Linked DNA regions of Caenorhabditis elegans. The protein of the gene in region 2 interacts with the protein of the main gene of each other region in a pairwise test. Each region holds a gene or a part of one and is shown on either strand. Other genes may lie near its edges.

Evidence for each region. The genes of interacting proteins can lie anywhere in the genome.
Region 1: the proteins of lec-1 (region 2) and F26F2.3 interact in a two-hybrid assay, tested with the Caenorhabditis elegans proteins (2 studies listed by BioGRID).

The regions. Positions count from the first base shown.
Region 1 is NC_003283.11:20,564,705-20,568,232, forward strand, and holds F26F2.3 (Transthyretin-like family protein), read right to left. Parts: upstream 1,851-3,528; 5' UTR 1,838-1,850; coding exon 1,418-1,837; intron 1,373-1,417; coding exon 1,112-1,372; intron 921-1,111; coding exon 861-920; intron 817-860; coding exon 706-816; 3' UTR 585-705; downstream 1-584. Other genes in the region: F26F2.9 (Transcription termination factor Rho), read left to right, coding at 2,871-2,945, 3,039-3,212.
Region 2 is NC_003280.10:13,195,264-13,199,018, reverse strand, and holds the start of lec-1 (Galectin), read right to left. Parts: upstream 2,074-3,755; 5' UTR 1,911-2,073; coding exon 1,866-1,910; intron 986-1,865; coding exon 410-985; intron 1-409. UniProt on the Caenorhabditis elegans protein: Binds galactose.

The sequences.
Region 1 (3,528 bases), on a different chromosome or scaffold from region 2:
TTTTTCGTTTTTTTTTAATCTATTGTAATACGGTCTATCTTAATTTCATAAAGTTAAACAAAAAACGCAATATGAGGGAGATTGTGAGTTTTTTAAACCGATTTTGCACTTAATACGGAAAAAAATTGCCCGTAAATGGCGGATAGTGAATAAAATCGGAAAGATATGTTTTGCAATGATTGAACAAAGAAGTATCGTTTGAAGGCATAAAAATTCAACGGTTTTCTATGAATGATGACTCCCATGAGGTCGCCGCATTTATCTGAATGGCGTGAAATGTAGGGCGGCGCGGAACCACAGATGTGTCGGCCGCACGGTGGTTCAGTCACGGTGGTTCAGTTGCTAGATGGGTGCAAACGCGCTCCACCGAATAAACGTGCATAACTTGGCCAGGAAGTACAAAATCGAAAATTCATCACAAATAAAGATAGGCATCGAAAAATCGATTTTGTGATGGTTTTCGAGATAGTAGCCAATATAGATTTCCAGACTGAGTATCATGAACCAATCCATCTAGTTTCTGTGCTACCGTGCAGTTGCTAGATATTGAACTCTAAGCAATCCATATCACAAAAAATATACTGTTAGAATTACTGCCTCTTTATTCTCATTTAAAAATCGTATTCTCTCATATGAAAACTACACAGAAAATAGATCAAAAAGAGGAAAAAAGTCCAGAAAAGGTTATTTATTGATTTATATTTACTAAAATCTTCCAATAAAAGTGTTCTTGATTTCTTCTTCTCTCATCCTCCTCTGTGCATCACTTTCCGCGTGTTGTGCCTCCAATGCCGCACGGTTATTTCTCATAGTTCTCTTAACAATTATTTCAATAATTATATCAATTTTATGAAACTCACTTCAATTTGATCGAATCCGTTTGTATAACGTGGTTCCCGATCCATAATGCATTCCCTTTCCTGGAAAGTTATATTTAAATGTCGTTCCAAAAATTGAAATGTTAAGATTGTTGATGAGATTGTTATTTGTTCAGAAAATAGAGAAACACGATTTGTCGAAAAAACTGAAACATCAGATTTAGGCTGATTTTTTTAAGGCTGACCTTGATGCTAACAGAATTTTATGAGGCTATTCTCGAATTGTTTCTTACCCTCCGCTGCTCATTTCGTTCATGGTGCCCACCACTATTTCTGCTATCAGCTTCATATTCTCTCCCATAAACATTTCTGATGCTTTGGTCGTTTTGTCTCCGCGTGTTTTCCCATCTTCTTTGCTCGGCTATTCTAGCTTCATCTTGCAGTCTTCGCTGAGACTCCTCAAAGCTCAATCGACGAGCTTCAATGTGTTGATTCGGCGTATTGAGTCCCACTATATCAGCTTCTCTGTAGTTGTGAGATTTACTCCTTCTCATCTGAAACGAATACCATTAAAATTACATTCTAACTATTACAAATACCTTGATTTGAACATTCTTAGCTTTGGCAGAGTATGGAATTTTCAGACATACTCCGGTAGGGTAAGGATAGTATGATGGTATTGTGAACGAATAACGCTGGTCATCTGTATGTGCTCTTCCTGAGCTTCTGGTTTGGTCAGAATGTCTGCTTGTTTCAACATTACGAAGGTAGATGCCCTGTCCATTGTTGCCAGTTACTTTTAGACGTAATCCGAGGTCACGATAAGGAATGTCGGGGGTTATTGTGAGTTTATGAAAAGGTACACGCTGACCATCCAACTTTGCGCTGCCTCTTCTTACTTGCACCTGAATATCCGTTCCTTCTTGATGCTGGTAAAAATGACTGACACTTCCATCTCTTTGCTGCACATTGGACAATCTTATGCGATCCGTCCCTCTTGAATCATGGTTTTGCTCCATTGTTATCTAAAACAGCGTTGATAGGAACAGGGGTGACTGCTGAACGACAAGTTTGGCGATTGGTAAAATTGGAAAATATTGGCGAGCGGCAAAGTTTGTGAACACTGAAAACCAGCACTTTCAAAAATTTTCAAACAAACTGAGGTTTTGCATTCTTTGTTTGAAAATTTAAAAACCTTGAAAAAGAAAATGTGAAAAAATCTTGCAATTTATAATTAAGTTTTGAAAATCGTTAGCCAGTAAGAAAATTAAACGTTCCTGATCACCGACATTCTATTAATACTGATAAGAAAATTCCTCATAAACTGGAGTATTGCTCCAAATTATTGGAAGATAACACAGGTTCTTATACGGGCTAGGAACAGGACGGAAAGTATTTTCCAATAAAATTATAAAAATAGAAAAAGAAAACTGAGGAATATGAAAATTAACTTTCAAGAGAACTTTTATTTGTTAAATACTTTTGGCCGGAGAAAAATTCAAAAAAATAAATGAAAGTAAGACAACTGAACATTCGTGGTCTCCGCTCTTCAATTTATACTAAACTGATAAGAGCATTCCTTATAAATAAAAATATTGCTCCACATTATTGAAAGATAACACAATTCCTCATACGGAAGAAAGTGCATTTCAATAAAATTATAGAACTAAGAAACATAACCTGTCAAAAAACTAACCGCGAAGCGTCATGAAATCTGAGGAACATGAAAATTAACTTTCAAGAGCACATTTCTTTCAAAACTTTTCCTTGACAGGAGGAATTAATTGTTAGCAATATTTTGATTATTCATGAGGAATTGATGTGTCCTCTCAGTATAAAAGAAGCTTGCACTCAAGGGAGCATTATATTCTCTTTATTTTTTACCCCATTTGTATCATTAATTTTCCTGCAACATGTTCTAGTAAAACACTAAAACTTTATATTTAAATGATGGTTACTAAAAATTGTGTTTTTTTAAACAATTAAACGGAATTTTGTTATATTCATTTCAATGTAAAGCATAATTCAGAAAACAATTCCAACACCCAAACAATGAGCGACAACAATACACTGCGGATGGCGGAAATGCTGGATAAGCAAAATTCCCGGCAACATGATTTCATGAAGGTTTTTAAATTTATTTTTTCTATTAATTAATAATGTTTAATACTTTACCTAATAATCAATAATTAATAATTTACCACAAGTATTATATTTCAGCGAATGATGGAGATGAACTACAATGCAAGATTGTCCGACCAGGCAAGAGATGATCGAAACGCGATTCGAAGTGAAAATAATCTCAAAGAAGTCAATGCTGGTTATCATATTTTTATTTTCAATTGTAATAATTGTTCATTCAATGTTGTTCATACTTCAAATAGGAAAAAATAATAAATCAATTATTATTATTATTATGATTATTATTATTACGTCTTTGACAATTCGGCCGAAGCACAAAGGGAGGAGAGTCCCGTAGACATTTCCATTAAAATCAGAAGAAGAAAACAAGGGAGACAATTGTTTTGGGTGTTCTTTATCTATTGCAATTTTAAATCTCATCTATTACATTTTTGTTTTAATCAAGTTTTCTTAAAGTTAGCTATATTAGCTATATACTACCTATATCTATCTCGTTATTTTTAAAATAAACACAGTTTTGGCGTGTTTTTTAATCTTGTGTAACACGGCCTCTCTCAATTAAAAAAAA
Region 2 (3,755 bases):
GGAGAACACAGAAACCACACCCATTTTTCCGTGCCGCAAGTTTTCCGCAAATTTTGAGGCACCACGTTTTCAGGATCTGGGGCACCGTGCCAACTGCGGTTTTTGCAGTTTTCTCTCGCTGAAAAACGAAACAACGATACTCCGATATGACGCGTCGCGTGTTGTTTAGCGTTCAGAATAATGTTTTTTTGAAATAAAAACTTTTGGAAAACGCTAAACAACACGCATAACATCGGAGCATCGTTGTTTCGTTTTTCATCGAGAGAAAACTGCAAAAACCGCAGTTGGTACGGTTCCAGATCCTGAAAATGTGGTGCCTCTCGCGGCACGGAAAAATGGACGTGGTTCCTGTTCTCCTTTGTCGTGGTTCTCCTTTCTGTGGTGCCTCGTGGCATATATCAACCCTTACCTTCTCATCGAAACGTGGGTTGAAGTGGAACGAGATGTCTCCATTCTTGCGGAGAAGGTTGACGTGGAAGCGCTTGGCCTTCTTCTCAACGGTTCCAAAGACGAGGAGGCTCTTTCCGACTGGAAGTCCGTTGGCGAGTCCGCTCTCGTATGGTACTGGGTAGTACTTTCCTCCCCAGTGAACGTGGTTCAAGTAGAGATCTCCGTCAATCGAGAGGTGAGAGATTGAGGAGAGTGGCAGACGGTGCTCGTAGTCCTTGAACTCCTTGTGGTCGACGATGATCTGGAAGCGATCGTCGTGAGCACGGATGCGAATGTCGAACGAGTCTCCCTTCTTGATTGGGTTCGACTTGCGCTCTTCCTTTCCCCATTCTCCATTCGAGAACGAGTTGAGCACAATTTTGCCCTCATCGAAGCGGACAGAGACGTGGAGTGGCACATCGTTTCCGGAGAAATCCGCGGTCTTCGAGTGAAGGTTGATGGTGAAGCGTTGCGACTCGTCGATCGTCGATCCCTTGACGATGAGCGTCTGTCCGGGCTCGAACTTCTCCTGGAGCACTGAGCGGTATGGTACTGGCTGAAAAATTTAAAAATTTTAATTTTTTAAAAAATTAATTGGATTATTACGGGAACACATTTTTCTGATAATGCGTACTGCACAACATATTTGACGCGCAAAATATCTCGTAGCGAAAACTACAGTAACTCCTTAAATGCCTACTGTAGCGCTTGTGAAATGCCGTAAATCGACACACAAGCGCTACAGTAGTCATGTAATGAACAATGAACTACTGTAGTTTTCGCTACGAGATATTTTGCGCGTCAAATATGTCGCGCGATACGCATTCTCAGAATTTTGTGTTTCGGTAATAGATTTATAAGTAGAGTTTTCTAGAACCATTTCTTCTTCCATATGCCATTTTAAAATGTTCAGTAGGGTAATCATGTAGAAATATATGCTGGGGGGGGGGGGGGACCTCGCGTGTCACACACTGGTGAACAGAATAAGCGAGCAAGAAGCGAGACCCGAAAAAGCGGAAGAGCTGTTATCCAATCTGCATCCACCAATCTTCGCGCTCCCCAGACTTTCATACAGCTGACGACGACAAAAAATGCCTTTTCTACATTGTCTAGTTGCTTTCTATTTTTTAGCTCCATTTTGCTCCATTTTGCACAAAATTTTGTTGTGATGTGCCGCCGAGCAAACACACCAGAAATATGGCGGGAATCTCGAATGTTGATAATGGAACCGAAGGTGTGGGCGAGCAGATAACGAGAGGAATGTGTCACTTTAGTGGCAACCAACAAACTTGGAATGCTCTCCATTTTCGAGCTGGTGTCAGAATGTCCCATGTCAGTTTGATCTCCGAAAAGTTGCAGGAGAAAAAATTCCCGCTTTTTTTTGTAGATCAAACATGGGACAGCCTGACACCCCCATGTATAGAGGCATGCTTTACCTTGTTCTGCTCGTACCAGCGAAGGAATTGAGGAGTGGAAGACATTAGTGTAAAGAGTTGAGCTGAGGAAAACTGAAAGCGATCGTTCAGGACGCGAGTCAAACGAAGAACTGACGACCGGTAAACAGTTTCAACAAAAGCTGAGAGTGTGAGAGGAGAGAGAAACCAGACAGTTGAACAGTCATAACATTCGCAAGCGCCGCCCAATATTGAGTCAGAGAGAGCATGGAATTATGGGAGGGTGACAGCATGTGCGCGAGGCGACATTGAAATGTTTCTTTTTGTGCATCTGTCTGTGTCTCCGACTTCTCGTACAGTCTCTCGCATACGACTTCTCGCCATGATTCATCGTGTCGTTGTAGGCGAAGAAAACAGTGAAATTGAAAAAAGGAACGGAACTTTCTGGAGAGGAAGAGATCGATAATGAGTGTTGGTACAGTTTTCAGCTCGAAATTTTTTTTGTATGATTTGTTGAAACTCAAACAACAAAAGTTTTCGGAGCAAAATCCATGCTCAATATTTGCGTCTTCGCATTACTGTTTACCGCATTTCGAGTCTGGGCGTCACGTGCAAACTTCAACTTCAAAGGCTCGAAATGCACTTCAAAAACCAGGGGGTGGGCGGCAAACGATTTTTTTCCGGCAAATCGGCAAATTGCCGGAATTGAAATTTCCGGCAAATCGGAAAATTGCCGGAATTGAAATTTGCGGAAAATCGGAAAATTGCCGGAATTGAAATTTCCGGCAAACCGGCAATTGCCGCCCACCCCTGCTTCAAACGTTGAAAAGGTGTTGCACAACTAGGGCCAAGGCGAGAAAAAATGTGGCATTGATCTTAGGCAGGTTCTCATGGTGTACTAGTGTTTTGTCCAAATTGCCAAATTGCCAAACTGCCATTTGTTGTTCTATATTCGAGAAAAAGGAGGTTACTACTCGTCGGAAGATTTTCAAGAAGGCACAAGACATCGAAGAGAAAGGACATTCATGATGAGACACGGCTTAACATAGAAGACTGCAGAAGCAATTTGAAATTCGAGTGGTAAGCATCTTAAAGATCAACTGGAAATTGTTTCAAGCTGGAAAAAAGAGATTAAAAATGCCTTTTGAGCTTTTGATGGAAACATTTTGGTCTCACTTTAGCTGAAGACGTTTCTAAATTCGAAGCTTTTCAACCTGATTCTGTAGAATTGCTGCAAACTGGACGTTATGCAAAAATCGTTTCTTTAAAATTGTTCACTTAACGATCAATCATCAGTGTCAAGAACTACAATTTCGAAATCAACTATCAACAAATATATTTTTTGCGGCGTCTGATCTTCCTTCTGATTCAACACGTAGTAGTAGTAGTCCAAACATCGGTGGTGAACTATAGAGGTGACACTTACAGAAACGGGCAAATTCTCCAAAAGTTTCTGTCCTTTCTTTTTCATTATTTCTTACGCTTGACTGGGGCCGCCGCCGCACTTTCATCACCCCCGTACTGATACGGTTTTTTTTCTATTCTTTTCTTTTTTGTTGTTGTTACAACACCGTTAGAAACGAAACTCACGTAGGACTTTGGCTCTTCGGCGGACATTTTTTGCTGGTGGTGGCTTTTCGGTGGTTCCTGAAATTAAAATTGAATTTTAAAAACATGATTATTTAGAAGAAGAAGATGAAAAAGCGAGAAAATTTCCGACGACGACGACGACAATGGCAATAAAAGTGTGGTCTCTGGGCGCAATAGAGAGAGAGAGAGAGAAGGGCAGGAGAGACGCAGCATTTCGTAAATAAAGTCCGAGAGACAACAGACGTGTAAACAAGAGACAAAAGAGCACAGAACGTGTGTGAGAGATGCAGGAAAATTTTGTGTGTGTGTGTGAGAAATGACGCTCTCTCTCTCTCTGAAGAA